4 linked regions of the Saccharomyces cerevisiae S288C genome follow. The gene in region 3 interacts genetically with the main gene of each other region. Each region holds a gene or a part of one and is shown on either strand. Other genes may lie near its edges. The genes, in order: ALG8, YPS1, YPS7 and TOH1.

Region 1 (8,308 bases), on a different chromosome or scaffold from region 3:
CTAGTAGTTGTATCTCACTTATCCGGACTTCTGACAGATCGTTGCTATCATTAATAGCGCCAGATCCAGTCAAAAATGCCCTTTTTTTAGACTCTGAACTAAAGTCATCACTTGTCAAAAAGAGTAGAAAATCTTTGTCCTTTTGTAGAACCGGATCTTGACATATTTTTTTTAACATGCTTTCCATTTGAAATCTTCTATTTTCAATGAAATTTTCCTTAAAACTGCCTACTGATTGCTTCTCTGGTGGTGGTGGTATTACTTTACCCCAATGGTTGTTCTGCAATTGACGATATAGCCACCTGAAATCTCTGTAACGCCTGCTTACCTGTGCATATTTTAGCTCAAGTAATGATGATTCACTGATTACAGTATACTCCACATGAATGGATGTTAGCTCTCCTACTTTGACCGGGTCTTTAACTTCAACTTTGAAAGCCACAGCCTTTTCGGTTGGTGGCACCTTTGAGCCAATCTTGGTTTTTCCAAACTTTTCTGAGTTTTCCTCGACCTCAGCAGGACTTGAAATATTAGCACCTGTCTGAGGAAGATTGTATAAAGGCCTGTCCACTTGCTCAAGGATATTTTTTTCAACAGAAGCTGTGAACTTGCCCTCATTGTTTTCTCTCCTTTCATTCCTATCGTCCAATGGCTCTTCAACAAATTCATTCTCTTTTTCAGCTTTCTTTAAGGGATCAGTAAAGGGTGTTTTGATGGTATCATCGGAAGCAGTTGTTCTCTTCGCTTTCAGAGAATGGTTGCGTTTGGAGTTTCTTTGAGCTCTGGCGGAATCAAACAGAATTCGTGGTTTGCCGGATCTTCTTCCAGAGATGCTTTTTGAAGTATTTGGTGAAGTGTTAGCATCGTATATCGTATCGTCAAAAACTAAGGGAGAGTTGGCGTTTCCAGTGAACAATGCGCCACCGGATTCTCTTGTTGCAATAAATTGTGTAGTGCTATTCTTGAGATCAGCAATCGGATCCTGTTCAGGGGCTAAAGAATTAATAAGATCGTCAGCTTTGGAATTGTCATGCTCCTCTAGTTGCGGATTACCAGCCACCGACAAACCAGGGTCTTTCCATTCTGGCGCACTATCCAAGTCTATCTTGTCCGCAAATGAAGCTGTGGTCTCTAAAAGCTCATTGTCTTTTCTTTCTTCATTTGTAGATATTTGACCAATTGATTCAATTGAATTTGAAACGAGGCTCTGAGTTTTATCTCCCTCATGATTTAGTTCGTCCCAAACAGGTGCTTCTAGATTATCCTCGTAGTCCATGGCTTGTTATTGCAGGATGTATGAAAGTTTATAAAATCCCTGCTGCAAATTAAGAGATATATGGTTTCGTTCACTACGTAGTTATAGTAAATAACCTTTGCTTAACCCATTTTTCAAAGCATTTTTAAAATTTACTGTTATCACTTAGTTGTTCTTAGCGGACAACTTCCGAAAAGTGAAATTTCATTTTTCAAAACGACAATAGTGGTATAGAATTATAGAATAACATACGTTAAAAATAGCTGAAGTTCATTACAGTTCTGTAGTGGTCAGCAAGGCATTTGACGTCTATTGGATAGCCTACGATGAAAGGTGATCGTTCGAGGCAAAATATGGCTGTGACAAAGAAGGCAAAGTTAAAAAAAAATGACGAGCCAAAAAAGGTTTTGAAGACTGCCGCGACCGAAAAAGGTGAGGGATCCAAGCGCTACTCCTTATGGAATTTCTGGATAAGCACATTGTTTTTAAAATTACTATTGATTCCTGACTACTTCAGTACAGATTTTGACGTTCATAGAAATTGGCTGGCAATCACCAATAAATTGCCCATCAGCGAATGGTATTATGAGCACACTAGTCAATGGACATTGGATTATCCGCCATTTTTTGCTTATTTTGAATGGTTTTTATCGCAATTTGTTCCTAAATCTGTACGTGATGACGGTTGTTTGGATATAGTGGAGATCGGAAAGTTCGGTTTGCCAACAATCGTTTTCCAACGACTCACTGTCATCTTCAGCGAAATTCTTCTATTTGTCATCCTTCAAATATACATTAATACTACAAAGCTAAGTGAAAGATCTCAAAGTTTTGTGGTTGCTTCTAGCATTGTACTATCACCCGGGTTTTTAATAATAGATCACATTCACTTCCAATATAATGGTTTTCTTTTTGCGATTCTAATAGGCTCCATTGTCGCCGCCAAGAATAAGAGATACATCTTGTGCGCTGTTCTGTATACTACAGCCATATGTTTCAAGCATATATTTTTATATTTGGCGCCATGTTATTTCGTGTTTTTATTGAGAGCATACGTTCTCAATGTCAACAATTTCAAGTTTAAAAGTTACAAAGATTTTTTGTTCCTGATAAGATGGGCAAATCTTTTGAAGTTGGCTACCGTTGTTGTTGGAATTTTCACTATTTGTTTCCTTCCATTTGCTCATCAAATGCCGCAAGTGTTGAGCAGGTTATTCCCATTCTCAAGAGGACTGACGCATGCATATTGGGCACCAAATTTCTGGGCGTTGTATTCTTTTATGGATAAAATACTCACTACGGTAATGTTGAAATTACCGTACGTCCACACTTTTGCTACAAAATTTATTAAACCTCCTCTGATCCCTCAGAATATCAAGGAAATTAATGAAAGGCTCGCGGCAAACAACAATGGAAGTAAAGGTCTAGTTCAAGACGTATTTTTTGTTATTCTCCCTCAAATTCCTCCAAAATTAACGTTTATTTTGACGATATTTTACCAGGTCTTAGCAGTACTTCCACTTTTGTTTGATCCATCGTTCAAAAGATTTGTTGGCTCGTTGACTCTCTGTGGGTTGGCATCGTTTTTGTTCGGGTGGCATGTGCATGAGAAAGCTATAATGCTAGTCATCATTCCGTTCACATTTCTTGTTGGATTTGATCGTCGTCTTTTGGTACCGTTTATGTTAGTTGCCTCAGCTGGTTATGTTTCCTTGTATCCTCTTCTGTACAAAGGCCAAGATTTTTTCATTAAAACATTATACACTTATGTTTGGTGTATAATTTATTTTGCCGCTTTTAGAAAAACTACGAAGATTTCTTCAAGTGTAGAAAGAAGAATCTTTTTCTTGGATAGGTTGGCATTAACGTACATCTTTTCATTGTTACCAATCGTCACCGTATTACAAATATTGGATGAAGTCAAGTGGAGATATTCATTTTTGCAAAAATTTGAATTCTTAGGATTAATGATATATAGTGTCTATTGTTCATTAGGTATAATCAGCTCGTGGTTTGCCTTATCGTGGTTATATAATTTTGACGAATTACTATGGCAGTGATACAATATCGCTTCCCTAGGACGTTAAAAAAAAAGTGATATAAAATTATTTATATATGAATCGATTTTAGAAATATTTATTGTACATTTTCACCTACTAACTAATTGAATAACGATTAGATTTCGATTTATGCAGTCCCTCACGCCAGTTCCTCATTATTTTTCGTTTACGTATTGTGCGTTTTACACTTGAATTAAAATAACATTACATTAAACTGAATGAAGGTCAACTCCATTCACATGCATCAGTTGAAAGGTATATAAGTACTACTTCAATATATTATCTATCAGCTCTGGGAAAATGCTTTAAGAAGGAAAAAAGGTAAGTAAACTATTTTTTAACGCTTCATGATTATTGAATGGTCCTTTTGGCTCATATCGTTTTCATGAATCTATGACTATTTTCACTGATCATCGATTAATCTTTTCAAGGCAGTTCTAGCATCATCCTGTTTGTTGCTGTACGGGTTTTGTTTTAGTGAATCGTCAAAGCTAGAGGGAGCTTTCCCGGTTCCAACAGGGAACCCGTGTAAATTAGGAGTTGCACTGTTCGAAATTGAAGTACCTGGTATGTATTTGGTTCCTAATGAGCCATTCATGGTTTGCTGGATTAATGGAGTGCATTCAATCAAAGTGGGTAATTGAAATTCTTGATTTCTAGGAGTTGAAGGTCCATGGGCAGCGGTAAATAAATTCGCCGGCGGCTGTAAGTTTTCGCTTTTGGTGTTACCTAGCATATTTGCTACCCCTGTTGTGGTTTTTTCTTTGTTGAAGTAAATAGATGACACCCGAGACATAGATTGATGAGGTGGGGAAGCGATATTGATTTGTGGCGGGGAAGAGTTCATGTTTATGTGAGGTGGGGGTATTTGAAATTGACGCTGTTGTTGTTGCCTTTGAGTAGGAGAATTGGATTGCGATTGCACTTGCACTTGCGCCTCCAATTGAGCTTGTAATTGTCTATGGACGTTGCCGCTATCCGATGCGGTGGCTACAGTGGTGCCATTTACCATGACATTAGAGCTTCTTGGTGGGCTGAATAATCCAGGTGAACCAAAGTTTATCCATGAAGGAGGTGTGTTAAAACATTTTTGACGTCTGGGCGTATTAGATACATTGAACAGCATTTCTGGCCAATTCCCATCTGCGTCGTCAGTAAGCAATAACGGGTCACCACTTGAAAACTTAAACACGAATTCCTGCTGTTGTTCGTTAGATGCAGTAGTCGACTTGGGCAACATTTTGTTTCGAGGTGATAAGAAAACTCCCGGGCTATTAGTCAAGGTAAGTAAAGTATTAGCATCCGCGATATTGCTAATGGAATTACCGTTCTGATTGTTATTATTGCTGGCACCCACAGCATTTGTAGATTTGGATATAGTATCACTTAATGATACGGAATTTAGTGCAACATTGGGAGTAAATCCCATCCTGAATTGTAGAGAACTCTTTGGAGTGGATGGGGGCTTAAGTTGCGCGCTTGAAGGGGGTGATTGTGGTGGTTGCGAAAGCAGTATATTATTGTTTCTAGCACTGCCTATTGGAGAAGCTGAAGTTTCTATGATAGTCGGCAATTCTGTGTCGATGATGTCAGATCTGCTTGGTTTCGCTGGAGGTGCTTCGGGGAGCGTATCAGTATCACAATATTTCTCATTCTTCATCTGTTTTAAGAGAGAAAGAATACGTCTCTTCTCAAACTTGGGTGCATTTTTCTTGCTTCCTTTGTGAATTTTTTCATTTTGCATGATCTTTTTATTATTATTGTTCATTAAATGAGACGATTTTGACGATGGAGAGAAAGGCAAAGATCCTGCAATAACGGCCTTCCCACTTTCGGTAATGGTTAAAGAAAGTTTGAATTGTTCCTGTGAAGGAAACATGTAGTCATTTTTCTTTTGGAAAGCTGGAGAAGACGTCATGATAGGCGGCGAACTCTGAAGAAAGGTTTTCCTTGTTTCAGAAAACACCGTGTTATTATAGCTGTCATTCGAAGACGGGGTAGAGATCGGCGTAGAGCCATTAGTGCTCGATTTCTTGGTGGGAGTAGAAAGAAGAACGCCCCTGTATCTGCCCTTTCTCGTAGTTGCCGCCAAATTATGATGATGATCGATGCTGAGTCTTCTTTTATTCGGGGATGGACTAGATTGCCCCACTTTCATCAAAGGTTTGGCAAAACTGTGAGGCCCCTGCTTCTGAACCTGCATTGAAGAATGCGCCATGGGGCTTTGTAGGGGATTGGGATAATCTTTGGTGATGGGAGGCCTGCCTCTTTTTTTGATCATGCTTTTATCCATAGTGAATATTTTTCACGAAGTATTCTTGAGATATTTTTATTCCCCTTTTCAACTACACAACCCAGGTTGGTGAATATATACTTAATCAAATCCCTTTAATCACCTTGGAATGTGCAACCAGCTCTTCTTCTCAAAATTTAAAAAAACTTCCGAGAATGAAAAATGAACTAACGAAAAATTTTCAAGACCGTCTTAAAGATCCCTTATCGGTGCTGCAAAGGGGAAGCAGTTATTAAGAGAATTATTAGTATTTGCTGGCTGTGCCTTGATTGTATTAATTGATGGAACAGCGAGAGAAATTTTAGAGGTATGAAACCAGACAATAGAACGGGACTAATATGGAAAAAAACCGATTTGAGGGATTTCCTATTAGGGAAAAATAAGTGTTTGCCTCTTTAAGGAAAAAATACTAGCGCGTTACGCGGCGACTTCAAAGATCGACCATAACGGTCTCGCTCGCATCCTCAACGATTGTGTCATATTATTAATGGAACGAAAGAGAAGGTGGATGGCCAAAGCCTTGGAACAGTGGTAGATTTACACTAAGTTTACTTTCTTAATAGATAATAGGAATATATATGTACATATATAAATAAAAAATAAATAAAATAAATATTATAGAAGAACACCAAGACGCCGGTGTTGGGCATCCAAACAAAATATTGTAAAGTTTCTTTCTTGCAATCTTCTACCTTTATTTTTATTTTTTATTGCTGTTAGGTTGTTAACATTTAAACATCTTTTTTTTTTTTTTTTTTTTTTTTTATATTATTATTCGTGATATTTCGCTTGCAGCAGTATCTCAGTACATGAAGGAGACACTATTGAAGTGAGACGTTGTTTACAAGCAGTGAAAAAATAAATAGGGTGGCCGAAAAAAAAGAAACGAAACCAGAGAAATAAAAAGGAAAAGTAGGTAAATTTTTGTTACCTTTCACTCTCTTTCTGAAAACAATTCAGTATGCTCTACTAATATTCTTTTTTTTCATTTCTTTTATTATGTTTTTTGTTTATTGGTTTTTTTTTTTCCGTAATTTAAATAATAGTGGTTTTCATTTTTTTGTCAACTACTTTCTTGGTTTTGGTGGATTGAAAACGAATTTTCTGGTTTTGATACCGGCCCATTTGAACTTCTTCACCCAGATAGATAGCAAATACAAAGATGATAAGATTATCACCGTTTTCAAACCCAATCTCTTTCTTTCGTCATGTTCAGGTTCGGCACACCAGTTTAAAAAGGTGGTAACGTCCTTTGCCATTTGAGATGTCGTTGCGGGGGTACCATCTTCGTACTCAACCATGTCATCAAACAAGACTCTTGCCATTGCAATGGAACCACCTGGGAAGTAAGGGTTATAATTAGAACCTGGTGGTAAAGCCACACCAGCAGGAGGTTCATCAGGATAACCGGTCAACAAAGAGAAAATGTAGTCACAACCACCGTGTCTAGCTTTCACGATCAAAGATAGATCAGGTGGCAAGGCACCTTGATTGGCAGCTCTTGCAGCCTGTTCGTTTGGGTATGGGCCAGGGATGTAATCGGACAACTTACCTGGTCTCTTTTTAGGGTTACCTTGTTCATCAGGTTCGTCATCGTATTCAAATTCTTCGGCCATATTACGAACCTCTTCGTTGGTATGAGAAACACCAACCAAAGTTCTCCAAGCAACTCTGTCAAGAGAATGGCAGGCGGCACAAACTTCACGGTAAACCTGGTAACCTCTTCTAATGGATGCATGATCAAATGTTTCAAAAGGCCCATTGTGGGACCAAGCATATGCTGGGGCGTGCAATCCGTGTTCAGCTGCGGTCATAGCTTCGGCAGTTAAGGAGTCTGCATAGAGTAAAGTCGATGCGGTGATACCGGCGGCAGCAACACCCGCTGTAACGAGCTTTTGAGTAAGCTTGCCAGATTTACTAGCAGCACCTGTTGCGGTAGAGTAGAAACTTTTCGAGAGGGTCCTTTGAGCCCAACGTTTAGATAGATTTGAAAACATTGTCAAATTAGTTATAACTTCCGCTTCTGAGAAAAAATAGTAGATGATATAGTGTAATGAAAATGCAAATTGTAAAATATTATTTTTCAGAACTAGTTCAAACTAATCAATTGAAGATATCACAAATGTGGGGAAATTCAATGAATGCTTTTTATCAAACTGGGGGAGTACTGGAAAAAATATTTAAGAAAAATAGTGTTACACTAATATAGAATATGGATTCTTTTTCTTTTTCTTTCTTGTCCTTAATATTTGAAGATAAAGTACAAAAATGTATAAAATGTTGCTTAACAAAGAAAGATTGTGAAACCGATGATTAATAAGAAAACGAATGGCCTCTACTAAAAGCTTAGATAGTCTATGGATCCAGTTGGACGTCTAACCTCGTTATTATTCAAATTGTTTATATACTAGAAAGAGCCCCCTTAGTATCTACGCAGGGTAAAGGCGCTCGACCCTCTCCACCAACCAAATCCTCGCATTTTTTGGCCGCCGGAAATACCGGCCGCCCATTACCAAGAAATCCGAGAAAAAAAAAATCTTCAGTCACGTGGCGCTCCGTCTTATTTCCGTCCTTATACAAACATTTGGGATTGGCTCACAGAACATCACAACAGCATCTGTGAAAGTCTTAATAGAACTGAAATGTATGATGCGCTAGCACATCCGCTTTACAAGGAAGTTTTTTTCGTCTACAGCAATG
Region 2 (8,610 bases), on a different chromosome or scaffold from region 3:
AAACTTGATGAGGAGAGTTCACAGCTAGAAACTACCACAAGGTCCATTGACTCAGCCGATGACCTGGATCAGTTCATCAAAAATTATCTGGACATACGAACACAATATCACTTGAGGAGAGAGAAACTGGCGACCTGGGATAAACAAGGTAATTTGAAATACTAGTTCAGCAGCTACCGCCATTATCAATATGTACGTATATAGACTATACTTTATAGATTATTCTAGATGCCAAACGAATTATTAGAATATTAAAGCCTTTGATTATAGGCCATATCCCAGGTAAATAGTATACTAGGAATGAGAAAAAAAAATGTGAATAAATGGTAACCTATTCTTAGTGGGTAAGATAAACTATTGTGAAGTAAAAATGAAGACCGCCAACGTAACAATAAAAAATTAATAATAAAAAAAAACTTTGCCCAAGCGAGAGCAACGATTTCCGCCAGAAACTCCAACTGGCTTGGAGATGTGAATGTCTAAACTTTGTGCAACGGTTTTCAGATGAATGCAAAAAGAAGAGAAATTAATGTGAGGGGTAAAGATGGAACTATATGATCACCAACATTTCTTTTACTTGATGTAGAAGTGGCGGATGCAGTACTGGTCGTCAGGTTACCGCTAAAGGAAGCAGTTTGTGAGGAATTTACAGTAAATATGTTACCACCGGTAACAATAGATGCACTTGTGGACCAAGTGTTTGTATAGCCTGGTGCCTTTACGGCGCTTGGAACAGAGGATGTAATAATTTCGATATTTTCGCTTGTGGTATTATAGCGAGCTTGTGCCATGGATATTTCAAGATTCTCCAAATCATAAACCACGTACGCGTTAGTCAAAAATGAATCACCCAAAATGGTACCTGTGTCATCACTCGTTGGGATAATACCTAAAAGACATGTAGTGCCAGTACTCAAGATAAAACTCGAAAGTGGTGCATTGATGTGAAAACCACCAAAATCGAACACTATTTCCATACTATCATCAGATGGACAGTCCAATACGTAATACCCTATCCTGGAAGAGTATTGCGCACCTAGTTCAGTAGCGATCATACTTACCACTGTTTGAGGTAAATAAGTCAAAGTAGTACCGGAATCCAACAAAGCAGGTATTTTAGTGGTAGTCAAGGTCTTGTTACTACTCCCAGAATCACTAATACCGATACCATTAATAGTGACATCAAATTGAATGGGAGAGCTAAATCCACTAGCACTCAGAGTGTTTACGATGGGGATTGTGTATAAGGTGCCGGTATATTTACTGTGGTCCACGGCTCCGAACAAAATGGTGCCATGCATAGCGTCCGAGTCGTTCAAATACAAAGAATATGTGTTGCTTTTGATAGCACCAGAATTTTTCAATACAATGGGGAAGTTGTCGTATTTATAAGCTTTTCCACTATGAGACGCAGTAGAGCCAGAATAAGTGACTTCTAATTCGGGCAAACCAATACCTAACACACCCATAGTAGAATTCGTTTCATTGGCAACGGCAAAAGACAACCCGGTAACGTTCAAGTCGCTTAAATCCAAAACATCCGTACCAAAAGTACCGGAGGCAAAAGTCCCATCACCGTAGCTAATACTGAAATAGGTGTTGTTTGATCTAAATGTAGAAGAGCCCGAAGTGGAAAATGTCCCGTATTGTTGACAGTCCATGGTGGCTTCCGAAGCAGGCACGGATTGAGTTGCCGTACCTGAACCGCCTCCTAAGCCCGTAGCAGTGGGGCCAATGGCACTGCCCGTTCCCGTCAACCAGCCAAATGGGTTTATATCATTAATCAAAGATCCGCCGCTTGACGAATCATCACGTTTGTCAATAACACGTCTCCGGCTACTACCCATACTGTTCGAAGAACAGTATGGATTATCCGAGCCCATAATCCATAGATCAGAGGAGCCTGTGTCCACCAGGACCGTTACGTTCTGTGGTGGCGTGCCCACTTCCAAGTCCACCGAATAGAAACTTTGCTGGTTGGTAATTATAATTTCTTCATAACCGTCAGCCCTCTTCAATAGGCGTACTTCCGGTTTTTTGTCGCTTCCCACATTTTCTAGCGAGTCCCCGTAAAGCTTATGAAAGGGCAACTTGACGAACTTGGAATTCGAGTCGTCGTCGCGCTTGTTTGCTGCTGGTATTATCTTACCGAGAACCTGCGATGCAAAGAGTGACGAAAGGACCGCAGATCTTACAGTTTTCAGTTTCATATGTGGTAGGTAATATTATACTATATGCTTGGTGTTCACCTTATCTTTTTATTACGCTATGTATTTTAATATACAGAAAAGCCAATTGCGTTCTTCTTAATAACCGTCCAATTGCGGAAATAGGAACAAATGCAAAAAGAAGGAAAAAAGTAAATCCTCTTTGACACCCTTTTCTTAAGTAGTCGGATTTCCCTGTTTCTCCATAAATAAGTCCACGAATTTTTTTATGAAACCTCAATTTTTTCGGACACATCAGTGAAACGAAAACTACTCATGGCGCAGTATAAAAGGAGCGAAAAGCCACTCAGTTGAGTGGACGAGGGAGGTGAGGTGGTGACAGAAAAGAGGAGGAAGGAGGCAGTGCTATGTGAGGGTGTCTTGGCTGCATGCAAGGTCTGACGATCTAATTGACGCGTCAGAACGTGTGTTTTAGGAATATTCTTATTTAAGTATGCTTTTCCTCTTGAAATCGCGCAAAGAAGGAAAGGAAAAAGTGTCTATATATAGTGTCTATTGTTTTTTTTTACGAAAAGAAAACGGAAAGGATGAGTAAGGAGGGGACTAGCAGTAAACCCAAGGTAGAGCGTATACTGGAAGCGGAGTTGGTAGCAGCCCTCTGGAGTGCCCTCTTGCTTTTATGAGTCGACTTTGCAGTAGTGGTAGAGTTTGTCTTCTTGGTGGTGGTTGACCTCGTAGTGGTGGCAGTACTGGTGCCATTGAAAGTGCGCACGGTGGTAAAAATATTACCACCGGACGTGGCGGAGGCGTAGTTAGACCAAGTGTTGTTGTAACTGGGGGCCCTTATTGCACTGGGAACGGTAGATTTGATGACTTCGACGTTCTCTTTCCCCGTGCCATACTTGGCTTGAGCTAGGGAAATCTCGTAGTTATCCAAATCGTAGACCACGTAGGCGTTTCTCAAGAAGGAATCACCAAGGATAGCGGTGGCGTTGCCCGCTTGTGGAATTATTGCCAAGACACAGGTCCCCACACTGGTCTGCATAGTAAAGTCGGATAGAGGAGCGTTGATACGGAAGCCACCGAAGTCGAAGGCCACGCTGGTTTTGTTGTCGCTCGAGGGACACGTGTACTCATAATAACCCAATGTCTTGGAATACGAGGCATTCAAGCTCTTTGCTAGCAAAGCCACTGCCTGGGAGGGCAGATATGTTAGCGTTGTGCCTGAATCGAGTAGGGCTGGGAGCTTGGTGGTGGTCAATGTGATGTTGCGCTTGTCGGTTTGCAGTCCTAAGCCCTGTAAAGTGACATCGAACGCCACCGGGTGCTGATAACCCTGCGACTTATAAAGATTAACCAACGGGATAGTGTACAGTTGGCCCTCGTACTTGCTGTGATCTACAGCGCCGAAGAGGATGCTGCCGGAGGACTGTGACTCGTCATTTAGGAAAAGAGAGTATGCGGTTGCATCGATGGCTCCAGAATGTTTTAGGAACAGGGGAAAGTTATCATACTCGTAGCTTCTCTTGTCCATAATAGCGACTTTTCCAGAATAGGTGACTTCAAGCGTGGAAAGGCCGATCCCGAGCACACCAAAGGTTGAGTTAGATTCGTTGGCCACGGCAAACGATAGACCACTGAGGTCTAATTCGTTGTACTTTAATTTATCTTGACCAAATGCACCTTCTGCATAGGTTCCGTCACCGTAAGCGGCATAAAAAGGCGAGGACTTGTTGGCTTTGAACGTGGACGACTTGGTCTTGTCGAACACGCCATACTGGTCACAGTCCATCACAGAACCGCAGTAGGGGTTTCCCTTGCCAGGAACCCATAAGTCAGCTGAGCCTGTGTCTAACAGCACAGTGAGGTTTTGTGAAGGTGTACCAATGGCTAGCTCAACAGAATAAAAGCTTTGCTCGTTAGCTAGTACAAATTTTTCATGGCCGTTCGATCTCTTGCTGAGTTCACCATTGTCGCCGTTCTTTTTTTTTGTGAAGGGAATCTTGACGTATTTCCCATCGGGAAGTACTCTACCGAATGCCGGACTAGTTAAGACTGCTAATGTAGCCACTGCCGCCAATTGAAGTTTCATTTTTCAATGCCGAGTAATTTTGCTCTATTTATCCTATATAAATTCACAAACACACAAGTTAGCGGCTACAGATATTCATATATAATATATATACGTACATATATATATTATTATGGCGTCCAGCCTTCGACCACACAAGTTTCCTTTTGAGGCTTATAGTTCTAAGTTCTTCGCTATTTTTAATTTCTTTTCCGCGAATAGTAATCCGATCGCCAATAATTTCTACTACAAAGGAAGCGCGAAAAAAATAAGAGATATTTTCGCTATTTCTTTTGCCTGTACATGGCCCGGCCCCAAATATCCGATTCTCGTTTCTGTGCCGGATTCCACTACCACGAGACTCAGAGCCCTATAAGCCAGGAGGCCAAAAAGCAATCTCCATTACCAACAATATCGCGGTAGTGAAGATTTGTATGTATATTGAATGCCAAGACAAAATGGTGGCCAATTCTGCCATTCCGTCATAAGGGATATTGAATTTTGCTTATTTCATCACCCCACGCCATTGTTTTGTCCCGCCCGGAAAAACTCTGCCAAAAAAAGAGTACATTTCTGGCCCATCTCCGCACTAATTCCCCTTTCCTTTAAAATACGCTGCTTATAGGCGTCGAATGGAGAAAAGGTAGTGAGTGATTCCTCACCCTCCACTCAGACGTTTCTGATATACAATTGGGGAAAGGGGTTCACACACAGCAAGCCGGTATGTTACAATTGTATTTAGATAAGTTTTTCGTTTGAATGCGTTGAAAATTACTTGCGCTAGCTTCAGCTGATGTGCCATGTAACGCCGTTCTATCCACGCTAACTTCAATAGACTTCAATAGAAAGCAAATAGTTATATAATTTTTCATGGACGGTCCAGAGAATGCCACAAAAGTGCGGCCATAGAATGAAGACTGTATGAAAGAGCGCCATTGTCCCCACGTGTAACTGGGGCGAAGGGCAGGAATTCTGAGAGCAAACTTTGCTTCCAGCATTATGTAAAAAATCGAAGCGCACAATCGGACGCAAACATCTGTGTAGACGTAGAGAAACATGCAGTTTTGATATAGACGATTCATGTTGATGACGAGCAAGGCAATTTCGAGATTTGACTACTGAAGAATTTCTGTTTAGGAGCCGCTTTTGCATTATCATTGCCCTATTACGAGCCCAGTTAATGTTGGTTCGCCTAGTCTTGGGATTGGGATATAGGGTTAGGACGAGTCGATCTTAGTGGTACAAAGGAACCTCTCATCATCCTGAGTCCATTGTCTGCGTTTTTTCTTGAAGCTGAATATAATGTTGTAATTTGCTCGTTCTAGCAACTTCAGCGAAGCCAGTCTTCTAATGACTCCGCTGTTCCCAGAAAGTGTGAGCACTTACATATATGAATACAGCACTATCTGGAGAAGTGGCGCGCTCTTAATTAAAATGATGCAGCGTGTTATCACATCTTGCGTTACCGGGCCTTGCAAAAATTGCTATGTTTTTCTTGTGCTTGGTATTGCTTCGTGGAGATATATATTCTCATATCAGGACGGAATTTTACAAAGTGAGAACTCTAAATGGTGTAGTAAAGAGAAGAAAAAAAAATGCTCAGCGATTTACCCTCATTACAACCACCGAGATTCACTAGGAAACGGAGCTGTCCCTCGGAATTTATTGTCAACATATCATCCAATGTTAATGTAGAATGAGTTACCGTCTGTTACTTTTGGGACGGTTTTTGCACTAAGAACAGACGAGTTTACGGTTATCCTCAACAAGCAAGCAAGTATTTGCTAATCTAGATGCCATTCCGAATCATTACTCATACGTTACTATTGAGAGATGTTTTACAATAGATGAGAAGAATACAATGTCCAGAGCTCCTGGTATGCTAGAGTGCATATTCCAGGTCTTATTCGAATCATATCATACCGTCCATTTCAACAATGGTGAAATGTGGTCCACATATATCAGAAATCTTAACATTTAGTGAGGAGAGCCAGTAGAAAAATGTGCGCAAGCGGAAAGAAGTCATTCACAGACACGTTTAACAAAACACCACCACAGCAGCTTTGTCTCTTGATTCTGATCAGTTTGCCATCGAAGAAGCAAAATTGTGGTGTTATTTTTTTCAAACAAAACTTTTTTGGCAACAGCAGTTTTCTTCTGGATATTTGTACTTTATCATCCAACCGATGAAAGCTGGTTTCCTGTCAACCTACATTTAAATGGCCCGTACTTCTTCAAAACCGCTAGATAAGCAAATTAACCCAACTTTTGAGCGTCCTAAATTCCCCTTGGCTCAGAAGACTCGTTAATATGGGAAGTTTAAGTCCTACCATATAATCAAATTGGAAGCTTTCTGTGTTCGAATGGCTATTCTAACCGCTGGGCTATTAATCAGAGGGGAAGTGAAATGACCGAGACGTATTATACGTCATGTTGACATCAACAATTTAAGGAAAAAAATAAAAAAAAGCAATGAAAAAGGGTTTTTTTAAGTTGAAGACCCTTTTCAAATATATGTTGCTTTGAATTGTATCTACCGTCTCGTTTCTTCTGCTTTACCGTTTTTTTTTGCCTTCTTTAGATATGTCTTTTATGCTTGAAAGGTCCGGCTTTAATGCATTCATCTAAACGTAGTATTCCTATTTTTGAACTGCTACCAATCCACCATGACTTTACTATGAAGGACATTATTAGTGAACAGCTTCAAAAAAATAAACTTTTCAAGTCATTAAGATATATCTTGTTGCAGCGTAAGATGTTGGTGTTCAGTGCATTCTGTACAAAAATCCGTGTAATACCAAGTCATCCTCAGTTTACAAAGCTTGCTAGTTTCCTGCAGTTTGGAATGAACCATTAAAGACGCTAATCTTCGGATAGAGATCAGCTCCTTGATACTGTATAATCCCTATCCACTTGAATTCCTGTTGCATCCCAGTTCTATAGGCATCACCTACTGCATCACCTACTTGTATAATCCTCGAGCAGGTATGCTAGCTCTGCGTCAGTCCTTGCGATACACAACTAATGGAATATCTTATGGGTCAATCAAAACCATTCTTCTAGAACGCCGAGTTTCCAGTTTTGGGATTTAAGTAATACATTAGGTGCCTGTCACGCAATCCGTCCGCTGTATTTCTCCGCATAGAGGATTTCAGTACGAGAGAGTGAAGAGTCAAACTAACGCAACGTAGTAGTGGCTTTGGACATTGAAAAGAATAGTCTAGTCTGCCAAGCATGGGAGAAATTTTAGAACTAACTAATAAGAATTTCATGAGCCACTTGAAAAAGGACATAACTTCGCAAGAATCCTTGAAAAGTAGAATTGAGGATAAAAATGGTGATGTCGCTAGCCCGAAAGAGGATAACTATCCTCTATTGAATGAAACAGCGGCATGGCCAGATGGGGTGATTACCTCTGAAGAAGGATGTTCATCTTCAGGTGAGAAAGAGAATTCAGGCTTATGTTCAGAAGAAAGTTCAGAAGAAGATCCAGAAGAAGCTGAAGAGGAATCTGCAAGGGCTTTTGGAGAGTTAGTTGCAGTCTTGCGGGACAAAGACATACCACTGAATGTATTGGACGAACCTCAGATGAAAGATTGGCTTGAAAAATACACCGGTGTTTATAGAAGCTCTTGGCATGGTTGATTATGAAGAAAATTCCATAATTTTGCGAGGTGGGAGAATACTCTTGGGAAAGTGTTGAGAACAAAAACGCCACTAAAAACAGCAGGATTATTAAAAAGTAAAAAAAAAAAATTCCTTTTCAAGCAGGCAAACAATGGGTTATTTGAATGGAGAAGTATGCTACTATTTCTGCATGTTGTGGATCTAAGGCGATGTGGGCCTAGATTCTTTCCTTTTTTTGTTTTTACCTTAATTATCTTACGTTGTTCTTTCCGTCAGTTTTACACCTGACATGGGACAAGAGAACAAATTGTGAAATAAGTTCAAGCCTCTGTTGACATTTATTGATGTATCTATTTCTTTGAGGGTTAATTAAAGATAACAAATTGCTTTCTTCCGCTAATTTGAGCCTATTGAATTTACTGGGAAATGCCAACGTGGTCAGACATCAATTCAAGAAGTTTAGTTCTCAGAGAGTGTAACTTGCCTGTTTGGTCGCTGCAGTGAAACTGCCATTAGCTCTTTAGAACAACGTTCTAACTATACGAGGACCATATTACGTAAATCAACAAACCTCAAGAATTAGTGTCATATTTTCTCGCAGATATTACTACTGACATTCAGTCAGCTATATCCATTATGCATGAGCGAAAAAAAAGTGCATACAAAAAAGCTTATTTATTGGACTTAATAAACGAAACTATGTAGTGCCGAACCTTCGGATACTGATCATTGGAGTGATTTGAT
Region 3 (8,408 bases):
GACCTTCTAAAATCGGTTGCAGAACTCACATCGTCTAGGAAAGGATTCTTTGAGGAAAGAGGTCTCGAAGGTGGTGATAAACTACCACTACTAAAGCTCTCCAAACCAGAATAAAAAGCACCCTGCTGATCTGCGTTTCGCTGGGGTTCATCCTCTGGAATGTTTGGGAATGATAATTGTGAAGAAGTTCTTGTGTTCAATTGTGGCATATCAAATGAATTGGTACGAGATTGGTTTTTCGCCCACTCCTGAAACTGGGAGTCATTTTTATACTGATTAATACTTGAATCAACTGTGGCATTTCTAAACGGGTTATTAACAGAAAATGGCCTACTAGAGGTACTACTGTTTCTATTCTCCATGCTAAATCTTGCGTATATGTATCAATTTTTCTAAAAATGGAAAATGCTGGCAAAGTGTAATGGAACCTACAATGTATCAACAATTAAGCAGTCGAAGATTATGGTAAAATGACGTTACGTGTTCGAAGGGATAGGTCTGCAAAACACTTAAATTCCTCGAATAAAAATAACAATAAAAAGAGCGAGGTAGATCGGATATATTTCGGATTCTACACACTATAAAATACAAATTAGAAATTTTACAGAGTTACCTCCCAAGAAAGAGTATCTTCATTTTCTAGTGAATAACCTATCGCCAGTCACCATGATCTGCTGTTGAACCAACCTCGAGGCGGGAAAAAAAACAAAAAAAAAAGTAACGCGATTTACGCTCCGTGCACGACGATTCTTTGAGATGGCTGCCAATGGTTGATCACAAGTACTAGCTTCTACACAACTGGATAAGAATGACGCATATATACTTTTAAGTATGTTGTTATTAAATCTGCTATATAATGATGTTATACGTGCATTGGTCAAGGAGAAAAAGGTTTTATGTTATGAACTTTTGTTAAAACCATTCAAAGAACAATAAGTATCGAGAATATCGAAAGTAGTAGCAAGGAAGCTATACGAGTTACATGTCCAGCTGGATCTTTGTTAAATGTATAAGGACTGCTCAATCGAACGCCTGCTCCCGAAGCACTGCTGGTTCTATTAGTTGAATTTGACCACTCTTCTGAGGCTGACACAGAAAAGCTGTCGAATTGAGTACTGGATGGTCTAGCACTTGTGCTTGCTCTTGAAGTATCATAGAATGACCGGCCCGCACCTGTAATCACACCGTTTGAGTATGCTGCTGTCAGTTGACCTGGGACAGTGAACATATAGCCTGACCTATAGGATGGATAAAGAGTCAAGTTTCTTGTATTACTACTATTCATCACTTTTGCGTAAGGAATGTAACCAGATTTGATCTTCTTGATGATAGTGGACGCGGTAGTTTCATTTGTCTCTTCAGTAACTGCGTCATCTTCAACCTTCTTTGCCTGTGCAATGGCTATAGTGTTATCCTCTAAGTCCATTGCCATATATATATTTTTTATGAAGGCTTCTCCGAGTATGTTTACTCCAGTATTTGTATTAGCGTATAGTGTTAGAAAACAAGCTTCCTGTCCAGAACTGAAAAACATTGAAGAATTGGTGGATGTATCGTAAGTAGATGATAATAAATCACGTAGGGGTATTTCAATTGTCAATTCTCGAAGCCTGAAACCCAAGGAGACACCCATATCTGCTATAGAACATTGGACTAGCCACCTATCTAGTGATTCCACATAAGTGGCCGCAATTTGAACGGCAATCTGAATAATGGTACTAGTTGGCAGGTAACTGACCGAAGAAGTTGAATCAAGTAAGGCTGGGCTCAGAAAGTCCTTCGAAGTCATATTCAAACTTTGTCCGCTGTTAGACACAATATAAATAGGGCCTAATGGCACAATTGGGTACCCAACACTAACAGCATTACTCACTGGGTCAACGTAAGGAATTAAGTCAAATTTTCCCAGTGTACCGGTAAACAGCGAAGGATCCACCCCTCCAAGAAGTAGCTTCCCACAATTAGATATTGGATCTCTATATGTTTTGTACGTGGAAGTGTCTCCAGCCAACCACAGTGAATATGACGAACTTTCAATGATATCTGCATCTTTCAATAAGGATAGAAAATAAGACTGTTCTGTGTATTGTGAGCTATCGATAGCATTGCCTGGGTTTGTGACCTTCCCGCTTAAACCTAACAAGCCTGAAGTCTTAAAGTTCGAGGACTGAATATCAAAGAAGGAAACGTTTGAAATGGATAGGCTCCCCGAGTTAAATTGTACGTTATCTCGAGTTACCATTAAATCGGTTATCAAAGCGGTCGAGGAATTTTCTGAGGAAACATTTGTAAAATTCATATCGTCTGTCACCAAAGTACAGTTAACAGCTCTACCATCAATGAAAGAAATCTCATATATTTGGCCAGGAGAAACAGGAACAGATGATGTAGAGTCATTCATGAGGTAGCTGGGATGCTTATGATATACACCGGAGTATTCGTTATGACTTTCGCTTGTTCCGGAAACCAGATTTATGTACGGTTGGATAATATCCACTAGCAAACGTTGGCGTTGACCGGGAGTGCCAAATGTGCTATTAACATAGTAGTTTCCTCTACCATCTTTACCCACGGCTAGTACAGGAAACGGCTCCTCCGTTGACGAAGAGGTTCCAGACTTTGCTGTAGTTGTTGTATTTGCAGTACTAGCCGTTGCAAACTCTAACTGAAAAGTTGATATGAGCCACAGATACCATAAAATTAGGCATGTCATAGCAAAAATCAACGGCAAATAAAGCAAGCACGCAGTTACGATACGTTCAAAGATCTTTCCAAGTTCTGTATCCTTCTAGAACGATTAGTCTAATGCAACTGATATGTCCAACATTCTAAATATAACTTATTTTGGTATTAGCTGCATCATTCTACCATGATGAGCTGCGGCGTTCAATATCTCATTTTTTTTTGTTCGGGGTAACGAGGTTCATTGTTGCAAATAGCACGACCAAACGAGCGGTATGATACAAAGCACTGCAAGTCATAGCTGAGGTAAAAAAAAAAAGAATGAAGATCTCATTGTTTGGGTTAAATTACTTTCAAGAGCCTCTTTTTTAGGCTCGGTTGGTTAAAAGAGCAAGAACCGAAACACTAGTGCATCAATTTTTATAACAATTTTGTAATTATGTTGATAATTGGCAGTAAAGTTACAAAATACACACTAATTAAAATATTGAACACTTACAATATAAAGCTGATATCAAAATAAATATCGAACAATAAATACAACTCTCTCCAATATCAATATACTGCCGTCGTTATTTAAAAAATTAGCCCACCTGGGAACATTATAGAAAGAGATTTGTTTTTTGGTCTGGCAATGTGTCATAATCAAGCTCTTTGCAATATACATCCCCAACTCATATATTTGTATACAGGAAGAAGAATCGACCACCATCTATCGACTAGCATATTATCATATACGGTGTAAAAAGATGACATAAAAGATGAGAAACAGGGTAATCCCAACAATTGTCTCAATATTTACCTATTTCTCACATTGTCACCGCTCGAAAGTGCATTTTATATACGTTCTTTTGTGACGACTACTTTTGGCGGGAATCTTAGCGCCTTAAATGCAGTGAAAGATTACTCTTTTGAGTTATTGCCTGAATTTTGTCTGCAAAATTGTTATTATTCAGGAATTTAGAATAATTCAACTCTGGAGGCCTGCGCTGTACTACGGGCTCAAGTAATACCGGAGTGTCTCGACAATCCTAATATAAACAGTCTTAGGGAAGTAACCAGTTGTCAAAACGGTTTATCAGATTAATTCACGGAATGTTACTTATCCTATATATTATATAAAATATGGATCATACTAAATGGTGGAAGCGCGGAACCTTGGATCTAAACTGTTGGAATAAGAATCCACTATCGTCTATCAACTAATAGTTGTACTATCAATATATTATCATATACGGTGTTAAGATGATGACATAAGTTATGAGAAGCTGTCATCGAAGTTAGAGGAAGCTGAAGTGCAAGGATTGATAATGTAATAGGATAATGAAACATATAAAACGGAATGAGGAATAATCGTAATATTAGTATGTAGAAATATAGATTCCATTTAGAGGATTCCAATATCATCGAGGAGAACTTCTAGTATATTCTGTACACCTAATATTATAGCCTTTATCAACAATGGAATCCCAACAAGTCTCTCAAAATACACCCATTTCTCATAAACCAATTGTTCAGGCATTTATACGTTTAGATAGCCCAGCTATAGAAGGCGGAGTTTTACCTCATGTTGCTCAATCTGTTCGTTTTCTTAGGTTTCATATGTGTTCTATGAACGTTCAGGATAATGTATTGTCATGCTGACGTATCCCATTCTGAGATGTAACGTCTGTACAAAACAAAGCTTCAGTAGCTCAGTAGGAAGAGCGTCAGTCTCATAATCTGAAGGTCGAGAGTTCGAACCTCCCCTGGAGCATTTTTGCCGAGCACGGTACTTTTTTTTATTCTCAGTAAATGAAATCCAAGGGCTCATTTATTTGAGAAAGTAAATAAGGTATTAGAGGTAATAAAGTAACCATGGGCCAAGAAGACATATTCATAAACTTATGAAAAAACTTTGTAGGTATTAATAACTTATGGGTAAATTACTATCTATGAATGAATATTTACTATTTACTAGTGCTCATCTGGATATTAATTTAGACTTTTCAACGTCTCTCTTATAATATTTGTACATTTATTAACATCATCATCATTAAATCTAGGCTTGCCATCTTCTTCGAACATATCTTCGTCAGTAAACAGGGTGCTATCAGTAGGTTCTTTAATGTTATTATTTTCCACCAATTCCGTCAGTAAAGTTTCGTCAAAGTTTTTGGGAAACGGCCAGCCTTGGTCTTTTATTATCTGTATCAAAGCCATATGCCTGATTTCAAAGCCCCCGAAGAGTATCTTATTGTACCAGGAGCGTGCTCCTTTTTCGTCTCTCATTTTGACATAATGCATTACCATTGCAGAACAAAATTTAAACGTTAAAGGCACCCCATTTTTATGCATCACCTGTAGCAATTCTGATAGTTCAGCCTGCGTTAATGTATGATTTTTATAGGCTACTATGGAAAAGGGACATAGCGTGGTAGTTAAAACCACTTTTTTGGCGAAAGGTTGAGAATAAAAATCCAGAAGAACATTGTAGGCCAGCCTTGGTTCACGAGCTTGGAATCTAATATAATTTAGGAAAACATTGAGGATTCCGGTATCATTTCTCCAATACCTGTATTTATGAGCTTCCTCGGAAAGAAAACTCTTGTACTTGTAATATAAATCAAGAAGACAATTCTTGAATTGACCACTTTCCAGTGAAACAGAACTCGAAGATAAAAGGCTTCTATACAGTTCAGTTAAAATTGGAACAGTCACTGGTGATCCTATTCGCATTGTGTTCGGTAGAATATTATTTTTGTTCTTCAGCTCTCTTGCTAACGTAGGAGCTGTCAAAGTCGTTGATTTTGAATGATAGAGCCACCCCCAAATCCCTAGGGCATTCAGAATATTAGCAGACGCCTTTGAGCTGTATGATGAGAGGAGATATTTACACACCAATTTCGGGTCACGAAAGGCTTGAAAAGATGCAATTAATTCACCCATTAAAAACTCCTTGAACAATTTATATTTCATCAGTGGGCTGCTTTGTAAGCAGGAAATTACATTGAAAAGCTCCTCCTGCCTATTAGATATTCGGAGCAGATTCAAGTAGTGGTGAATGGGAAAATTCAATATGTGTTCGTTTCCATCAATGTGATTAAGCAATCCTGAGCTTACAATGAATTTCAGTTCCTCTTGAAAGGTTTTGATGAATAACTCAACATTTCCACTTTTCAAAAGGTAATAAAGTAAGGTATTGTTGAACTTGACATAACGCAGGTTCTTTTGCTTTGCTCCATCTTTACCAGAATAACAGTGCTGTTCCAACTTCTGTAGTAGAGCTTGAATAAATACTTTAATGAACCTAAAATTTTTCGCCTTAACAAGGCCATTTACTAGAGCGATTAAGCTGTCAAATGTATGCAACTTCAGAACTTTTTCCATTATAAATTTTATGTTTGTCTCATCATGCAAAAATATTTGGAACGTGGCTAACTGCCTCTCCATCTCAGTTCCTTTTATCAGCCTATTGGTAAATCTCGTACAGTAGTTAGAAGTAAAGAGAAGAACATCACTTTTCAAAAGAAAAAGATAGTGATTAAAAGATTCTGATTTTGGAATATGATACCAGAACCATCTGTGGACCTCACCTGGTAGATAAAATCCAATTTTTCTTGCCACCTCTGGGTATAACTCGTGTTGATGCAAAATGATATCATATAAAAGTTTCTTCTTTTCATTTTCTGAGCAATTATTTATATGCAGGGCATTTCGTAGAGATTCAAAAAAAGAGGCGTATTCAGTTACTCCAAAAGTCTCACTTAATACAGTTTTCAATTGTCGGAGCTCGTATAAACGCTTCTGAACATTTTTCGAAGATCCGCTCTTCCTAGAACATGGCACCTGTCGTTCAAAATCGCCAAACTGCAAAGGTTCTGAACGATTTGATTTAATTTTCAATGGACAGTTTTTCGTAGATAAATGGCGCAGATTTGTAATAGGTAGAATTGTGTATGTCCCTGCGCTACCCATATGTTTAAACAGCGGTGAAGTGACCATTTGAGCCAAAGGCTGGGAATAGACACGGCATATACATTTTAACATGCCAATAAGAACATTAAAGTGAACGCTTGGAAGATTTGAAAGCCCATTCTTGCCAGTACGCCAATAAAGTGTGTCGCGCAGAATAGATCTTCATGTAATTCCTTTTTCCCTTTTATGCAATCTATAATGTTAATCAGCGTAGATCACTATATACGCTTTTTTTTTTTTTTTTCAGCTCCGATTAGAGAGCAAAAGAGATGTAACATCGATCCTGCTATAATTAGAATACAAGTGTTGATCTTTAATTGTACTGTTTCTGCGAAAGCTATCGAGCATTTGGCTGTATTCCACTGTCCATTGTATTTTTAACTCTCCTTTTTATCATTCTGAAACATAGAGCTGTTTTGACAAAATTCAGTTTTTTCTCAATTAGTGCTTTCATTCATACGTTCGTTACAAGCTTTGAATTTTAACTTTATTTTCGGGCTTCCACCTTTGCTTCATTATTTTACTTCAGCTCTTTAGCTTTCTGTGACATTCAATTTTATTGTATGACAGCACGTCGTTTGATTAATATAGTTCCTAATACGTCTAAGCTAGACCCTTTAAAGGAGGAGGACTCAACGCATCTGAAACAAAATCAACCTAAGAAGTTTTCCACAAAGGAGTTGATGCTTTCAGAATATACCGAACGCAAAAGTTGCAGCCTTCCGTTGTCTAAATCCCGATCAGGCAGTAGTGCATCCAGTAGCACTACAGGTTCGAACGGAAAGAATATTGGAACAAGACGCCCTAGCTCCAACCTAGATTTCAATTTCGCTAGCCAAGATGTTGTTAAAAATGTATTAGGTAATAATAATCCACACGTACCCACAGCGAAGTGCATTAGGCCAATATCAGATGATTCTATAGGTACATCGAGCACAGAGATATTTTCTTCATCGCACTCAAATACGACATCTGATTCTTTATGTACATCAGATATAAGCTCAGAAGAGGGTGAAATAGCAAACAGTAAGATGGAGGATAACTGCTTCTTCAAAAGTATGAGAGAAGCTGACCATAGAAGCAATATTACGCCCTTAAAGAAAAGCCGACCGGGATCAATACTACAGAAAACACGTACAGCAAGTAGCGCTGATAAAACAATCTGCTCAATGAGTACCATAACTACATGCATTCCATCTCGTCAAAATTCGGTGTCAACTCCTAAACTCTCCAGGACAGTAGGGCTGCCTGGATCGAGCAATACAACCAACAGTATAGCCGCATCACAAACTTCATTCATAAGCGAGAATGACTCTCCTCTTAAACATCATTGCATGAGTACCGCAACTATCCAAGAACCAAAACTCATGCCGATCACAAAAACGCCGTATGTGCATTCCAATAGTACTTCTGTAATATTACCATATAAAACAACCCAACTTACTCCTTCTCAACGTTACCGTTTAAGGAAAGAGCAAAATGACCAATCTTTGCGTAAAGCCATAAAAATGAAAGAAAAATTTTATGAAGATCAAGACGTTAACTTGGAACTTCAAGAGGGCGATGTCGACGGCTCGTTAATTTGGAACATTCCAATGGCATCTTTATCGACCAGTTCTTTTTTAACATTATCTAAGTTTAATAGAAAAGAAATGAGTTTAGATTCAGCGCGGGGGGATGAAGAGATATTAATACAGGAGAACAATTGCGAAGGCAAACAACACTCATCTTCGGCTCTCTGTGTGGACAAAACTTTCCATCAGGTTCAT
Region 4 (7,757 bases), on a different chromosome or scaffold from region 3:
CTTGGATGACTGTATATATGCGAACAAGAGGATCGGAACATTTAAGAATAATGATTTCATGGAATGTGACTGTTATGAAGAATTCTCAGATGGCGTCAACCATGCCTGTGACGAGGATTCTGACTGTATCAATAGACTTACGTTGATAGAATGTGTCAACGATTTGTGTTCATCTTGTGGTAATGATTGTCAAAATCAGAGATTTCAAAAGAAGCAGTACGCTCCGATAGCCATATTTAAAACAAAGCATAAAGGTTATGGCGTAAGAGCCGAACAGGACATAGAAGCCAACCAGTTCATTTACGAGTACAAAGGTGAGGTGATCGAGGAGATGGAATTTAGAGATAGGTTAATAGACTATGACCAACGTCATTTCAAGCATTTTTATTTTATGATGTTACAGAACGGAGAATTCATTGACGCCACAATAAAGGGTTCGTTGGCCAGATTTTGCAATCACTCTTGCAGCCCCAATGCATATGTTAATAAATGGGTTGTTAAGGATAAGCTACGCATGGGAATATTTGCTCAAAGAAAAATTTTAAAAGGTGAGGAAATCACTTTTGATTATAATGTGGATCGTTATGGTGCTCAAGCTCAGAAATGCTACTGTGAGGAGCCAAATTGTATTGGGTTTCTCGGTGGTAAGACTCAAACAGATGCGGCATCTTTATTGCCCCAGAACATCGCTGATGCCTTGGGAGTGACTGTTTCCATGGAGAAAAAATGGCTAAAGTTAAAGAAATTAAGCGGTGAGCCAATAATAAAGAATGAAAACGAGAACATAAATATTGAATTTCTTCAATCATTGGAAGTCCAACCTATCGACAGCCCAGTGGATGTGACGAAGATCATGAGTGTATTACTACAGCAAGATAATAAGATAATTGCATCCAAACTCTTGAAGAGACTTTTTACTATCGATGATGACTCTCTTCGTCATCAGGCTATCAAACTACACGGTTACACCTGTTTTAGCAAAATGCTTAAATTGTTTATCACGGAACAACCTCAGGTAGATGGAAAAGGAAACGAGACTGAAGAAGATGATATAAAGTTTATAAAGGGAATTTTAGATTTTTTGTTGGAATTACCAAAGACAACTCGAAACGGTATTGAGTCGTCACAAATTGATAATGTAGTAAAAACTCTCCCTGCAAAGTTTCCATTTTTAAAGCCAAACTGCGATGAGTTATTGGAGAAATGGTCGAAATTTGAAACATATAAAAGGATAACGAAGAAAGACATAAACGTCGCAGCCAGCAAAATGATAGATTTGAGAAGGGTGAGATTACCTCCAGGCTGGGAGATCATTCACGAAAACGGTCGCCCATTGTATTATAATGCAGAACAGAAAACGAAACTACACTATCCACCTTCGGGATCATCTAAGGTCTTTAGTTCAAGGTCAAATACACAAGTAAATTCTCCGAGTAGCAGTGGAATACCAAAAACGCCTGGCGCTTTAGACTCTAAGAAACATAAGCTGAGTGACGAAGAATATGAGAGGAAGAAACAAAAAAGACTGGAATACGAAAGAATTGCGCTAGAAAGAGCCAAACAAGAAGAATTGGAAAGCCTGAAGCAAAAGCTAAAGCTTGAGAATGAAAGAAAAAGCGTTTTGGAGGATATTATAGCGGAGGCCAACAAACAGAAGGAGTTACAAAAGGAAGAGGCCAAAAAACTAGTGGAAGCAAAAGAGGCTAAGCGGTTGAAAAGAAAAACGGTCTCCCAGTCCCAAAGACTAGAGCACAACTGGAATAAATTCTTTGCATCTTTTGTACCCAACTTAATAAAAAAAAACCCACAAAGTAAACAATTTGATCATGAAAACATTAAACAATGTGCTAAAGACATCGTGAAAATCCTAACTACAAAGGAACTTAAAAAAGATTCTTCAAGAGCGCCGCCTGATGACTTAACCAAAGGAAAAAGGCATAAAGTTAAAGAATTCATAAATTCATACATGGATAAGATTATCCTCAAGAAGAAGCAAAAAAAGGCGTTGGCATTATCATCAGCATCAACAAGGATGTCTTCTCCTCCACCTTCAACATCATCATAATTAACCAGACATGCATATTTGGGGCTTGTTTCACGTTTTCTGTCCCAAAGGAAGTCTTGTACTTTAATTGTAATTGCGATTTGTAATAAGTAATTTTTTTTGTCTTTACCGTTTATTTCTTTATACATTTTTGGTGCATATATTTAAATATCCGCATTAGTGGGCTATCAGTAGCACTGTAATGATAGGTAATGTGACACATCTTCTCGACAGATATTATTCTTGAAAAAATCGTGCGTTTCAAGTGTCTTTATTTTTTTGCTGTCAATAGAAGTGTTGAAATGACTTTGAAACGTAATTACCGCATCGGGAAATTTACATGTTAACTGCAATGAAAACAAGGAATATACGGGGAACATATAAAGGGTCAGCGTCGTTGACTAGTCTGTCATTTATATTGTGCTTGTACATAGGACTACAAAAATTCAAAGAATGACGACAAGAAACATGACTACTTTAGCATCAAGTATTGAGCATAAAACAAAACATCTAGCCGCGCCCTTCGAGAACGATGAGAACCCTTGGATGAAAAAATACTGTTGCCAATGCAAATCATGTAAAATGAGTGTGCCTGTCCAACCTTGGCTGCCAAGGTTTTTTGTTTTTGGAATCTTGTGCCCCGTTTTCTGGTTGGTGAATCTTTTAGCCTGGTGGTTCTTACAGTATTGGCAACCACATGAATTGGAATTCCACGACTTGCAAGAAGACGAATACCCAGGATTTTATGAATATGAAGCCATAACTAAAAGAACGGTGATACCCATAAAGGAAGAAGTCCTCCAAGAGATTCGCGTCATGCAGAATTTCAGTGATAGCAACAGCGAAGAATATTACGAGAGCAAAGACGGTATGCCGTCGTCTTTCCTAAACGTGAACACGGAACAAGTCGAGGACGAGAATGACACCTTGAAAAAATATCGTTACGCGTTTTTGAAGAAGGTAGCCCACGATGTGCTGGAGTCGCACGATTTATTACGTAAGACCTTCCGCGACTGGAATTTACGGTCTTTGCTTGGCCTCCTCATCGATTCTATACTCATAATATTTGTAGTTCTCCTATGTAAGAAAAGCCGTTAGGTAGATCTAAAGACAGAAAATGATATCAGCCTCTTTCTTTTCCACAGCCTCCATTTCCCATTTTTGCTGTATCTGCAAGGGTTCCTTTTTCCATTTTTTTTTTTCAAAGTCTTGGCTCCGCCCTTTTCTTTTGTCTATTTTGCCGAGCTTAGGTTATTTATAAACCTGAAAATCCTCGAGAAACAATCCTTATCGAAGGAAGCAGCCATAATAGAACATACTCAAGTGCAAACATTACAAGCTTAAATAAGACAAATGTTACAGAGTATAGTCCTTTCCGTGTGCATGTTTATGTTGCACACAGTCGCTGCCAGTGGACCTCAGTCGTACCAAAAGTTGGATTTCACTAATGTTGGTTTTACAGGCTCCTACGTAGATGTGAATAAGTTTAAAGATATCACCAACAATGAATCGTGTACTTGCGAAGTGGGTGACAGAGTATGGTTTAGTGGTAAGAACGCTCCACTAGCAGACTATTTATCCGTTCATTTCCGTGGACCATTGAAGTTGAAACAATTTGCTTTTTACACATCCCCTGGATTTACCGTCAACAACAGCAGAAGTTCTTCTGATTGGAACCGTCTTGCCTACTATGAGTCCAGTTCCAAAACCGCTGATAACGTTACCTTTCTAAATCATGGAGGTGAAGCTTCCCCTTGTTTAGGAAATGCTTTGTCCTACGCTAGTTCTAACGGTACTGGCAGCGCCAGTGAAGCTACCGTTTTGGCAGATGGCACTTTGATTTCTTCAGATCAAGAATACATAATCTATTCGAATGTCTCATGTCCAAAATCAGGTTATGATAAGGGTTGTGGGGTTTACCGTAGTGGCATTCCAGCTTACTATGGGTACGGAGGTACAACAAAGATGTTTTTGTTTGAATTCGAAATGCCTACTGAAACTGAGAAAAATAGCAGCTCTATTGGGTACTATGACTTGCCTGCTATTTGGTTGCTAAACGATCACATTGCAAGGACTTCTCAATATCCAACCAATGCCAACTGTTCATGTTGGGCTAGTGGATGTGGGGAATACGATATTTTTGAAGCTATGAATGGTACGGAGAAAAACCATCTCTATTCTACTTTCCACACTTTCCAAGGTATCGAGGATTTGGGTACTGGTATCCAATCTTACGGATACATAACAAGAAATACTACTGGAACGATGAAAGGTGGTGTTGTTTTCGATTCTAGTGGAAATGTCGTTTCTTTCATATCTGATGCCACTCCATTCAATGGAACTGTTTCTGCTGATACTGTTAACGATTTATTGGCTGCAATTCCAGAAAACGAAACCTATTCTTCTCAATTGATGAGCATTTCTGCTACTGCGCCTTCGACCACCTCGAAGTCGAATGGTGTTGCTTTAACGAAGATGCAAAACGGTGTATGGTATTATATTTTGGCCATATTCACTGCCTTTACGCAAGTGGTTTTGATTTGATTTAAGTCATTGTATGGTCATATTATCATCATCATTTAAATTTTGATTTGACACTTGATTTGACACTTCTTTTTTTTTTTATTTATGTTTTGTTTAACTGACGGTGTTTTTTTTTTTACGTTATACTGATACATATATAGACGTGATTTATTTAAATAAAAAGTTCTATGAAAAAAAAAAAAAATTAAAAAAAAAAAATTAAAAAAAAAAAATCTTTGACTATTCAATCATTGCGCTTAAGCGTATTCGTTAACATTAACGATATACTCGTAAACAAAGGCAATGGCAGATAAATGACCTGGGACATCCACGTGTTCATTAACCGAATGCAATGTCTTCAGTAAATCAATATCAATGATAGAGCCAACAAACCTATAAATGTTCTTGGACAAATTCCAGTAGTATTTAGTATCGGTGTTACCAGAGAATAAACCAGTAGTCACATAGAACTCTTCGTTGTTTTGTAGAACACCGTTTTCAAAAACATCTTGAATAGTACCTGCCAAAATGTCCCAAACAGGGCCTGAACTTGGCGAAAGTGGTGCTGGTTCCAATTCTCTCAAGAGAGTAATGTCAATGTGACCTAACTCGGTTTCAGGGATAATGTAATCGTCACCGTTCTTAGATAAACCATAGCCATACTTCTCAGCAATCTTTTTCGCATATTCTATGTTTCTTTCAAAGACTTCAGCCACAGAAGAATGTAAATTAATTCTGTGATTGATCAAGAATCTGGTAGTTTCGGGCAGAGCATTAGCTTTAACACCACCATTGATGATATCAACAGCTTGTGTTGTTCTTATTAAGCTGCGCAAATGTGATTGGTTGGAAATGTACTCAACAAGCTTGTCCTTCCTTCTAGGACAGAATGGTGCGCCCAAAATTGTCTTCTTCACATCCTTACTTAAAGATTTAGAATGTTCAGCAGCACATGTCAACAATCCATAGATTGGATTGTCAAACTCAAATTCGTAGTCAAATGGGTTGGCTTCAAATTCAGTAATCAGTTCTGAAGCGATACCGATTGTGGTATGATCAGGTGGGACAGAGGAATGACCACCATGGCCTAGAATACTGACTTCGAAGTCGACATAGCCTTTTTCAGCGTTGATTGGAGTGGCAACAAAGACATCCTTGTCGACTTCCATGATACCTTCACCCTCGTCAATGATACTGTAAATACCATCATCACCATATCTTTCGTGAAGAAATGAGGCTAAGCTGGCAGCACCGAGGGTGCCGCTTGCTTCTTCATCAAAACCAAGCGACATAACAATAGTTCTGTTGGGCTTGAATCCATCTATCAACAGTTGTTCGATAGCTTCAAACTCGGCAATTAACAAGTTCTTACAATCGTTAGAACCACGCCCCCAAACAAAATCTGTTTCTGGATCATAGTGACCAGAAAATGGAGGGAACTTCCAGGATGATAAAGTTTCGTTGTTTACAGGTACAACATCTTGATGGGCCATTAACAATAATGGTTTTAGATCAGGATCAGAACCTTCCCATGTGTATAGAAGACCCAGCTCATTGACTTTCTCCAATTTCAAATGCTTGTGAATATTAGGGAAAGTCTTCTCAAAATAGTCGTGTAGTTCATAAAAATGCTTATAGAAATCCGGATCATCTGCGGGGTTGGGGTTTTTGTCTTGGACTACAGTGGGGATTCTAACAGCATTGGACAGTTTCTCAATGGAGCTGTTTCTAAAGGCAGGGTCATGAAGAATTGTGTCGACGGAATGTTTGAATGATGGACTTAATGGTTCAATCTTCTCACATTTGGGTGAGTGCATGGGACCTTTTCCATGGTGTGGACGCTTTGCCTCATGAGGTGGTGCTGGGTGGAGACCCGAAGTGAGGAAGAAGGTGCCGATGATAATAAGGGCAACTATTCCACTAATAAAGGCTCTGTGCCTTTGCCATAGGGACTTTCTAGGGGCCTTCTCTACTGGTAAGGCGATCATAATGTAATTGTTAGATGAATGATTCCTTAATGTGATGATGCAGGATTAGTTTTACAATGGGAAGAGACGTATTTGGGGTACCCGTTTCTTTTATATGTCATAAACTTTCTTGCCCGACCTTGGAAGGCTGTATCGTATTTTGCCCAAAGGGGAAAATAAAAGGCCGCTATGATAAGATAAGGGTGGCGAGGCTGAGATAACAAGAAGATGTTCTGAGCATTGAGCATTTAGGATAACAGTGCACAAGATCACGCGGTTCAATTCGTCACGTAAAGCTACTAGAAGTGGGTGTTTCTAGTAGCCTGCAAAAAGCGTCGTTCTAAAGAAACTTTTTTCAATGACACATTTACTGAAAATAGAAAAAGACTATCTATTCGTAGCTGATTTTCAAAATCCGTATGGGAAATCAGAGGTTATGGAACTGACAACGTCGTAGGAACAAGCGATATGCAAATCCCGGTGTCGCTTTGTTTGTGTATCGCTAAAAGCTTATATGCAATACTCGCGAAGGTACTATAATCCCTTGGACTAGGTCATCCCAATTCTTTGTCTTTATCAGTAAACTCTTATCTTACCTTTGGTCTCAAACTGGTATTTTATTTGCTGAATATTAACTACCACTAGGGATTACTCGTAAAATTATGAAAAAAGTACCATATGAACTCCAATAACGGTAAGTGATCAATAGGGAACAGCAAGTCTCTTCTTCTTTGCAACGTCAAGATTGATCCTATGCTTTCATAATTTCCCTACATGATGGCAGTCATACTCCAATTAAGTGCTACAAGAAAGAGGCCTTCGCAACAACTGTGTCAACGCTTGCAAGTGCTAAATTGTACTACAGCACCAGTGGTATCTCCTATAGTCAGTTACATAGTAAAATATTCAGAGGTCCATTACATAAATATATATATATATGTAGAGGCATCCATCCATGTTTGTCGATGCAGCTGCAAGCACCCAACAAGAACAGATGACAGCCAACAGTCGTTGACTAACGTAATGGGCCACTGCTGAGAAGCATCCACCGCCCATGCCATGGTTGGAATCATGACAAGTCGCCCTATATAATGCCTTCGTTCTTTAATATTGACGCGCCAAATGTGGCAATACGCGATATTTTTTTCGTTCGTGTTTAAATAAAGAGCAATATAACACACCCTTCACCATTCTTGTAGAACATCGTCTACCAGTAACACAAG

The links.
Region 1: mutations in YPS7 (region 3) and ALG8 together harm fitness more than expected from each alone (negative genetic interaction), as found in Saccharomyces cerevisiae (2 studies listed by BioGRID).
Region 2: of YPS7 (region 3) and YPS1, changing one enhances a phenotype caused by changing the other (phenotypic enhancement), as found in Saccharomyces cerevisiae (one study listed by BioGRID).
Region 4: mutations in YPS7 (region 3) and TOH1 together harm fitness more than expected from each alone (negative genetic interaction), as found in Saccharomyces cerevisiae (3 studies listed by BioGRID).

Annotation. Positions count from the first base shown.
Region 1 is NC_001147.6:446,736-455,043, reverse strand, and holds ALG8 (dolichyl-P-Glc:Glc1Man(9)GlcNAc(2)-PP-dolichol alpha-1,3-glucosyltransferase), read left to right. Parts: upstream 1-1,581; coding exon 1,582-3,315; downstream 3,316-8,308. Other genes in the region: VAM10 (Vam10p), read left to right, coding at 831-1,175; VPS5 (sorting nexin 1), read right to left, coding at 1-1,276; MSA1 (Msa1p), read right to left, coding at 3,719-5,608; ubiquinol--cytochrome-c reductase catalytic subunit CYT1, read right to left, coding at 6,676-7,605; YNG1 (Yng1p), read left to right, coding at 8,306-8,308. UniProt on the Saccharomyces cerevisiae protein: Dolichyl pyrophosphate Glc1Man9GlcNAc2 alpha-1,3-glucosyltransferase that operates in the biosynthetic pathway of dolichol-linked oligosaccharides, the glycan precursors employed in protein asparagine (N)-glycosylation.
Region 2 is NC_001144.5:386,011-394,620, forward strand, and holds YPS1 (aspartyl protease), read right to left. Parts: upstream 2,211-8,610; coding exon 501-2,210; downstream 1-500. Other genes in the region: ESCRT-I subunit protein SRN2, read left to right, coding at 1-165; YPS3 (aspartyl protease), read right to left, coding at 2,734-4,260; YLR122C (uncharacterized protein), read right to left, coding at 4,944-5,321; YLR125W (uncharacterized protein), read left to right, coding at 7,474-7,884. UniProt on the Saccharomyces cerevisiae protein: Cleaves proteins C-terminally to mono- and paired-basic residues. Involved in the shedding of a subset of GPI-anchored plasma membrane proteins from the cell surface, including itself, GAS1 and MSB2.
Region 3 is NC_001136.10:1,171,464-1,179,871, forward strand, and holds YPS7 (putative aspartic endopeptidase), read right to left. Parts: upstream 2,714-8,408; coding exon 923-2,713; downstream 1-922. Other genes in the region: PAL1 (Pal1p), read right to left, coding at 1-362; ATP22 (Atp22p), read right to left, coding at 4,657-6,711; SBE2 (Sbe2p), read left to right, coding at 7,203-8,408.
Region 4 is NC_001142.9:96,535-104,291, reverse strand, and holds TOH1 (Toh1p), read left to right. Parts: upstream 1-3,397; coding exon 3,398-4,588; downstream 4,589-7,757. Other genes in the region: histone methyltransferase SET2, read left to right, coding at 1-2,065; ASG7 (Asg7p), read left to right, coding at 2,513-3,142; CPS1 (Gly-Xaa carboxypeptidase), read right to left, coding at 4,825-6,555. UniProt on the Saccharomyces cerevisiae protein: Probable circularly permuted 1,3-beta-glucanase involved in cell wall modification through beta-1,3-glucan network alterations such as increased branching or remodeling.